Linked DNA regions of Arabidopsis thaliana. The protein of the gene in region 1 interacts with the protein of each later gene in a pairwise test. Each region holds a gene or a part of one and is shown in the gene's direction. Other genes may lie near its edges. The genes, in order: AT3G11530 and AT1G36980.

Region 1 (4,588 bases):
AAACAACAAGGTCCGATACTTAGGGTTTAACGATTACTTACCACAAAACCTGAAAAGAGGAACTTGACTCTGTAGCGACGAAACCTCTGGAGCCGCTAGAGAAGAAATCGAGTGGCTAAAGAAGAATGATATGTTTGAGTAGACATAAGAGAAGCTGATCTCCGCCTCGCTCCTCCGAAAACAGAAAGCGTTGATCAGTATACCTCAGACGCCAAGCCTAAGCGGTGGAGTCGTCGCTTGGCCGTGAATGGATGGAGCGGAGGTGGCGGCGACGGCGTAGCCTCTATTATAAGCTCGAGGACAAATGAAAGAGGTACGAGGTCGGTCCGAGCCAGTGGACAGAGGCAACGACTCAGATTAGCTCTCCTCGCTTTTCCTTTTTTTTTCTTTCCACAGCTCAGATTGTTATTTTATTTTATTAGAAACGGACAAAATAGATAACAGTAATCATTTTGCAAAAATAAAAAGGAACAAGGTAAATTAATTAGTCATTGTAATAAAGAAACAAAAATCTCCAGATATGCAAGAAAATATATGTTTTATGTTTTATTTCATACAAAATCATCTGAATTATGTCCAGCCATTTAGGAGATTTGATGTTTTTTTCATGGACTATGAAACTAGTCTAGAGTTATAAAACCCTCTTGTCTAAAAAAAAAAAAACGTTATAACTTCTCTAGTTCTATTGAAGCCAGATTGATTGATGAGTTATGTTATTATTGACATATCTATCATTTACTCAATACACTCACACGTAGAAAAAAGTTGACTTCGAAAATATTGGTTAAAAGAAACTACAAAATTTGTTTTACTCACAAAGTTGATAATGTCCAAAACATAATTTTTCACGATTGTTTTATTTGGACAAAATAAAAATCATTGTTCTACCGAAAAATAAATAAATAAATTCATTCTCATTGTCTTAATTTTTTTACGAAATTATGAAGTGGGAAATGGATCAAGTAAGTTTCACAAGTGGGAGTCCAATAGTTAGGATCATGTCGGCCTCGTCCACTTGCGTTCTCCTTGATTTAACGATCACTTGCTTGTCTCAGGTCTCAACTAGTGGTGACGTCAATTCATTTGGTATTCATTGGACTATACACTTTTTTTCATTGTCAAATAATTGGACTATGCTACTTAAATAATATACAGCTACTCAGAGAGACTTTTACTCCAAAACGAAAGAGCCCCTTTTAAACAACACCTTATTATTTGGAGCAAAACAAAAAACAACACCTTATTTAAGTAAGAAATTAGTAATGGTACATCACAATGGCATCATAATGAACAACTGATAAACACTTTTGAATCGTCACCAGCAGCAGCATGTCATAAACGCACCAACCATGATAGCATAGATCGTGAGGTGCGCAATACCATTACTTCTCGAAGACATAGAAAGCATTGGAAACAACTTATGCTACTTTGGATCCATTAATCTCTCCTGATTAACTACTCTTTATCTTAACCTTGTTTTTATTTCTTTTTGCCAAGGTTAATTTAATTTAGGTAATACGTCTCTTGTAATACCAAACATTTCATTTCTAATGATATTTACATTCTTAGCAAAAAAAAGAAAAAAAAAACAAACAATGATAGCATAGATAGTGTATTATGATGGAGATTTACGTACTCTAACTAAAATTATGGAAACGAATCAACTCAACTTATGGTTGCTTAATAGTTTAATAATACTTTTTCGTTGATGCAGTTTCAATCATAGTTGATTGCATTTAAATAACAAAAAATGAAAAGAAAAAAATATTTAGCATTTCACATATTTTGATGATTGGTATGAACTTTGGTTAAAAATTTCAGTTATAAAATCATTTTTATTACGTATGATTTAGGAATGAGTTTTATGTGGTCCTTGCAACCCAAATTTTGATCGTAATTTTTTTTTCATGTCATTTAGTTTGTGATATTTTAAAATCGACTACTAGCTGTATTATCAAAACCACAATCCTGGAAACCAATTATAACCAAAATAAACCAACCAAACCAAAAAGATGAAATCGATGAACGGTGAGAAAACCAATTTTGACCGGTCACTAATTTTCATTTTGCTCTCAAATCGCGACTCCTCTCTGGGCTCTCTCCTTCTGTATCTCTCTAAGGGGAACAACGAAATCATCACCTTCTCTTTTATCGTCACCGGCGATCATTCAAGACTCGATCTCCGGTAATCAGAACATTTTCATTCGCCGACATGGCGATGACCATCGAAGGTAATCAATCACCTATCTTCCAACTGTATCATTTCCCGACGGAATCGAATCAGATTCAAGTCGATTTTCCCCTTTTACTTTTCTCCCTTGCTCTATGTTCATATATTCCATACGTATTAGAGATTGGTATTGATTTACTCAGATTATAGTTATTTTGTGCTTCGTGAATTGTTTAATTTTGTGAGCTAGGGTTTCTGGGTTTTGCATTGTTCAAACTCACTCATTGTTTGCTCTTTTCTAAATTTTTTCCGATGCTGATTTCTTCTGGAATGCTCAAATTGCTTTCTTGGTACAGTGTAAGTTCTAAGACTTGATGCTCTTTAATTACCCTTGTTGTTACATCTGCCAGTGTATTCTCGTGTGTCGTGATCTTACAGATTTTATTTTTCTTGATTGCACAGACTTGCTGGACTTGCTTTCATGTTTTCATCTAGTATCCTCCTACAGATCCTGGTACGTTTCTGAATATAGCTATCTGCTTATAACCCTTGAAGCTTGATCATAAGATCATGACTTAGTAGCTTTAAATCCTGCAAGAGATGGTTAGCTAGTTCTGCTGTTAGGTTGTGAGCTGAGTATACTGGTCTCCTTTTGTACCCTTGTTGATGTAGCAAACAGAGTTGTGAGTCTTTTGGCCCGTTTTACTGGGAGAGATACTCTGTGAAGTAAAGTTTGTTACATTCAAACCTTCTTTCATATTTGAAGTTTTGAGCTTTACTCTCTTGTAGTATGTTGACTAGCGATCTCTGGATCCCAAAAACCAAAATTACACTTAGAATTCTTATCCTTACAACACTATTTGACCGGAGCATATGGTAAGCTGGGGTCCTTAGCCGACCTCAATGTCTAACTTGTTAATTGACTTAGACTTTCTGAACAACTTCTATAAACTCAAGCATCTTCTCTCCTCAGCTTATATCAGGTCCTTGTATAGGTATAGTTTTTTTTTTTTTTTGCACTTCGATTAGAAGAAGAAAGGATCATCTGATTTACAAATCTGATACGTTTCCCATATTTTGTGATTTCCTTTGGTATACCTGGTTATACCATGCAATGAGTAACACGTGTTATAGTCATCTGGGAGATATAGTGATAACTATTTGTTCATAATGGTCAGGCATGCGCGATATATGGTAACTGGTGGCCAATGCTATCAGCACTCATGTATGTAGTGGTGCCTATGCCTTGTATGTTCTTTGGAGGAGGCTCAACCCAATTCCTTATTAGTCGGGACGGTGGAGGGTTAGTTACTAGAGACTTTATTGCTTCTTTGAGTTAAACGAAAGATCGATTACCAAATTGGCTCGTCCATAAAACGCAGGTGGATAGACGCAGCGAAGTTCTTGACCGGAGCATCGACCGTGGGAAGCCTTGCTATCCCAATCATCTTAAGGCACGCACAGATGATCGAGACAGGTGCAATGCTCATAGAGTTCACATCATTCTTCATATTCATTTGCACTGTCATGTGTTTTCACCGGGCTAGTCTCGATGATGACTGGTAACGTAGATGTTGCTGCTCGTGAATTACTAATTGGATTCGTATGAGAAAGAGAGTGTGAAGAAAAGATGAGGTTACTATGAGTGGTTAAGAAAGTTGTGTTCTTCTCCCTCTTTTTGTAAAGCTTTGTATCACTCAATGTTTGTAAAAAGTTTTATTCATCACTGTGAATCTTTTCCTGAAACTAAGTGCCAAAATATTTTGTTTCGCATGTTTAGGAAAAAGTTTAATTCATCATTGTGAATGTTCCCTAATCCCTAGATTAGCTTCGAGAGATTAACAAAGAACGGTTCAACTGTAACACGTGGTCATGAAATAATGTCCGAAGGCCCTTCAGATAATAAAAGCCCATGAACTTCATAAGGGTAGAAGCGTAATTTTAAAAGAGACCCCTTTCATATATATATCCTTGCGATTATTATTAGCCGTCATCGTCTAGGGTTGGTTGTTCTGCAATTTAGTTTTTTTTTTTTGTGTTTTTTATAATCTGCAGCATCGTTTCTTGTAATCTGAGGAATTGTTTTTCAGACTGCACGATCGTTTAATTTTGTTACGTTGGTTGTTTCTTTGAAGTGAAAAACGGCGAGGGATGATGATTCAATTAGATGTGCGAATGGTTTCATCATGAGCTCAAAAACTTTATTTGGCATTTTATAATCTGACTTCGCCGTCAACTCTTTTTTCTGTAATTTGGAGGAATGGTAAATGGATGATGATTCAATTAGATGTGCGAATGGTTTCATCATGACCTCAAAAACTCTATTTGGCAATTTATCTGACATCTCCCATTTCTCTATGTTCAATCCAATATATCTCCTTTATGTGGTTTTAACTCGATATTGTTTTATTGTCTGCG
Region 2 (4,839 bases), on another chromosome or scaffold:
CACTATGAATTTGACATTCTATACAAACTTGGGGTTGATAACAAGGCGGCTGATGGGTTATCTAGAATGGTACAACCAACTGGGTCATTCTCGTCAATGTTGTTAATGGCGTTTACAGTGCCCACAGTTCTCCAGTTGCATGATCTCTATGAAGAAATAGATTCTAATGCTCATCTGCAACACTTGGTTAAAGAATGTCTATCAGCTAAACAAGGGACTAGTGCCTATACTGTGAAAGAAGGCAGATTATGGAAGAAACAGAGATTGATCATTCCTAAAGACTCAAAGTTCTTACCACTCATACTTGCTGAATATCATAGTGGCCTGTTGGGTGGTCATTCGGGTGTGTTGAAGACAATGAAACGTATTCAACAATCATTTCATTGGGAAGGTATGATGAAGGATATTCAGAAATTTGTTGCTAAGTGTGAAATGTGTCAACGACAGAAATACTCCACCTTATCTCCGGCTGGGTTGTTACAACCTTTACCAATTCCAACGCAGGTTTGGGAAGACATTTCCTTGGACTTTGTTGAAGGGCTGCCTGGTTCTCACGGAAAAAAATGTCATTTTGGTGGTGGTAGACAGATTAAGCAAATATGGTCATTTCATTGGTCTCAAACATCCTTTCAATGCAGTTGATGTGGCTAGAATTTTTATTCACGAGGTAGTGAAGCTGCACGGGTTCCCTGCATCGATAGTTTCTGATAGGGATAACACGTTTTTGAGTTCCTTTTGGAAAGACTGCTTCAAACTATCAGGCACTAAGTTGAAATACAGCACTGCTTTCCATCCGCAAACAGATGGCCAGACAGAGGTGTTGAATCGCACATTGGAGACTTATTTGCGATGCTTTGCTTCAGCTCATCCTAAGACTTGGTTCCAATACTTACCTAGGGCTGAATTGTGGTATAACTCTTCTTTTCATACAACTATCAAAACAACACCTTTTAAGGTCTTGTATGGCAGAGATCCTCCACCAATTATGCGTTTTGAAGCTAATTCTACTAAGAATTGTGAGTTAGAAGGGTTACTCAAGCAGAGGGATTTGATGTTGGCCGATATTAAAGAGCATTTGGTGAATGCACAGCAGTTAATGAAAAATAACGATGATAAACATAGAAGAGAAGTTGAGTTTGATACACGGAATAGGGTGTTCTTGAAGCTAAGACCATATCGTCAAAATTCTGTGACAAAGAGAGTGTGTCAGAAGTTGGCAGCGAAGTATTTTGGTCCGTTTGAGATCATGGAACGCATTGGGAAAGTTGCTTATAGGCTGAAACTTCCAGAGGGTTCTAAAATACACCTTGTTTTTCATGTGTCTCAGTTGAAACAGGTTTTGGGTGACCACCATCAAGTCATTCCATTACCGGAAGTGTTGACTGCAGATAATGAGTTTGTGGTTGTGCCTGAAGCTGTGCTGGAGACTCGTTACAATGAGGATGGACTCTTAGAAGCGTTGGTACATTGGCAAGGTCTTCCGGTTCATGAGGATACATGGGAGATAGCCAAGGACTTGAAGAAACAGTTTCCAGGTTTAGCGCTTCAGGACAAGCTGCATGTTGAAGGGGGGGGGGGGGAGGGGGTATTGATAAGCCCTTAATAGTGTATACAAGGAGGAAGAGGCGTGAAGCACGTGCGAATGAAGATGGTGCTGAGGAGCACGTGCGCTGAAGAAGAAGTCACACGTGTGAAGTGTATATATTGAGACTTAGCTTTCTTTAGAAGATTTATGCATTTTGTTTGTAACTGCCTGTGACGTATGTGTCTGGGTTTGTGAGAGTAATGATCTAGATTTGTGTTTTAGAGCTCTCTGTATCGAACAAATTGTATTGACTCTTTCAGATAATAAGTTTTACAGTTTTCTTGTTATCAGAAGACCTGCAATTTCTAGATTAATTTTCATCAATTTTTTCTCCTTTTAATATTATTATAAAATATTATATATCTTTATTTGCGTGATATGGAGAATATGATAGATTAGCTATGTGTTCTGGTGAATCGATTCTGAGATTAGCTACCAGAACAAATAGTAAAACAACATCGTTTGCAAAGTGTTTTTTCAAATCACGCAAATAAAGTTACATAGCCACAGATGCAGGGTCCGATTCTGGTAGCTATATGTTTTTTGTATTATTTATTTTAATACAAAAACGATGTTGTTTTACTATTTGACAGAAAATGTTATTGTTGACTTTATACGTTAAATTGATCTGTTAGTTGATTATCTAATATCTTTTATTTGGCAAAATCGAAAAAAATTAATAATTTACTTTGATGATTTTATCATTACAGGTAAAGTTGATGCTTTGTTTCGACACTTTTGGCATAATAATTTTAATGACATTTTTTCGGTATAAAAACTATAATAATTTAACAATATCAACAATAAAGTTTTTATTTATCTATCTATCCAATTGGAGACGAATCATATCGAGCGATGGATTTGGCAGAACTGTGGGCGATTTTCGGACCCGGATTCTCCGGCGCCGTTTTCGGAACCGGGTGGTGGTTTTGGGTCGACGCCGTCGTTTGCAGTTCCATCCAAGTTCCCTTCGTCCATTACCTTCCCGGTAAATATATCTAACTCTCGATAATTTATCAATTAGGGTTTCCGAATTTTGAGCGATTTTGGTCCGTTGGATTTGGGGATTTCGCAGGCATATTCGCTTCTCTCGGAGCTTTGATGTTCAATTGCGTCAGAAAAGAAGACATTGATTACTCTCCTTACGACGAAGGCGAGTGGAGGTTAGTTTTTCAAATTGATCTGAGTCAACATAAGAGCTTGGTTACTTCTTGTTTAAATCTGTAATTCTGTGGAAAGTAGAAGGTAGTTGAGATAAGTGTACAAATTTTAGCTGATTTTTGTGACTGATCCATTTAGTTTGAAGTATTTGAGTGATCATTGCTTCTATAAGTGTTGAAGTATTCATGATTTGTGTTTTATGGATTTGGATTGAAGCTTATTTATAGCGTATGTCGTTGAATTTGTTTCATTCGCTCTGCTTCTGATTCTGTTTTTGATCAAGATAAGAGTTAAGAGCTTGGTTACTTCGTGTTTCTAATCTGTATTTTTTGTGTAAACTAGAAGATACTTGAGAGATCTTGTGTGTTTCATTTATGTGAAATCAAGTTTTCGCTGAGATTTGCGGTTAGTTTAAACTGTTTCTGATTTGTGTATTTATGTATTTGGATTCTTGGCTACAGATTGAAGCTATGGCTTTTTCATAGCGTATGTCGTAGCGTTTGTTTCCCTAGCTGTTTATGTTGGCTTGCTGATACAGTTATTTAATCAAGGATAAGATTTAAGAGCTTGGTTACTAAGTGTTTCTAATCTGTATTTCTGTGTAAACTAGAAGATACTTGAGAAATCTTGTGTGTTTATAACCCTCATTATCTGAAATCAAGTTTTCGCTGACATTTGCGGTTAGTTTCAACTGTTTCTGATTTGTGTTTTTATGTATTTGGATTCTTGGCTACAGATTGAAGCTGTGGCTTTTCATAGCGTATGTCGTAGCATTTGTTTCCTTAGCTGCTTCTGTTGGCTTGCTGATTCAAGATTCGGTTGTGAAGACTGGGCCTTCAACTTGGACTGGTGTGGCTGGTGTCTTTCAATGTGTATTTGTATTGATAAGGTAAAGCTATTCTATGCACTCTTCTGGTTGTGCATTTCTTGAAACACTAAACACTGCTTTTTAGATTGGGAAATTGAACACAAATACTCCTACAAAATTACCCAAACTTGTACAAATAGATTTAGTGATTCTTACAATTTTAGTCATAGTCCTTTGGATTCTAACACTTCCATTCTTAACTAATGTGGCTGTCTTCTTTTCGCATCTGGACTAAAACTTTTCGTTAGAATCATCTTTCATAATCACAATAGATTTTGTACTGGTAACAGTAACTTCCAAACCTAGCAAATGTGATTTGAATTGCAATCAGTGAAGCATCCTAACCTTTTTGTTTTCGTATACTGCATATCATCTTATACTAATCTATTTGTATATATCTCTGGTGTCTGGTCACTGACCACAATTTTTTTGACAGTGGGCTAATGTATTGGACATCGCACTCAGAGTAGCGCACAGGCACATACTTCATCTCCGACTCAGATTCATACTGTGACAACTTACAAGTTCCTCTCGTTTCTCTACTATGTAAATTCCTGTGTCTTGTCTTGTCACCTTGGCATTGTGTGCGAGATTCCTCTGTTGCATCAGTGTGTGTTTCTGTTAAAACTTTGTGTGAATGTTATTGAAAATACTCCAAATCAATCAGTTGTCCAAAGAGAACGCAAATAGGCAAACCTTTTAAATTACCTAGAAAAGAAAACTCAAAATCATGTGATCAGCAAGACGAGGTACATGCTCAATGAGATAAGTTCGCAGGCCGGCATGCTAACACGTTGGGCTTAGTGGGTAGACTTGGACACATTATTTCTGCCGGCAGTCTTAGCAGACCAGCCTGTCGCAGTCTTACAAATATAAATGCCTATTGCGGATTGGCCTGTTTGGCACCTCTATTGGGTTTATCCAATGTTTTGTGTTGATGAAGAAACTCTTTCGCAATTATATATTCTCCTAAGAGCGAACTCTTGCTCATCAAACATTAGAGACAAGAGAAAAAGACAAAAAGAGGAACACGTGTGTGAGAGCTGAGCCATTTTTTTTTCAGACCAAAGAAAGATCTACAAAGTCTGAAGAGGGCAGGACACTCATATGGCAACTCAAAGCCTCATCAGCTTTATTTGCACTATTTGCAAATCATCAAAACAAACAAACAAAAACCCCTCCCTGCCTTTCTCCTCTCCCATTGCCAAAGTAGTAGCTAAGCTTT

Evidence for each region.
Region 2: the proteins of AT3G11530 (region 1) and AT1G36980 interact in a two-hybrid assay, tested with the Arabidopsis thaliana proteins (one large-scale study listed by BioGRID).

The regions. Positions count from the first base shown.
Region 1 is NC_003074.8:3,627,949-3,632,536, reverse strand, and holds AT3G11530 (Vacuolar protein sorting 55 (VPS55) family protein), read left to right. Parts: upstream 1-2,000; 5' UTR 2,001-2,527; intron 2,528-2,632; 5' UTR 2,633-2,651; coding exon 2,652-2,684; exon of another isoform or gene 2,685-3,348; coding exon 3,349-3,473; intron 3,474-3,552; coding exon 3,553-3,736; 3' UTR 3,737-4,007; downstream 4,008-4,588.
Region 2 is NC_003070.9:14,022,644-14,027,482, forward strand, and holds AT1G36980 (transmembrane 50A-like protein), read left to right. Parts: upstream 1-1,990; 5' UTR 1,991-2,113; intron 2,114-2,295; 5' UTR 2,296-2,440; coding exon 2,441-2,573; intron 2,574-2,660; coding exon 2,661-2,748; intron 2,749-3,482; coding exon 3,483-3,635; intron 3,636-4,050; coding exon 4,051-4,084; 3' UTR 4,085-4,308; downstream 4,309-4,839.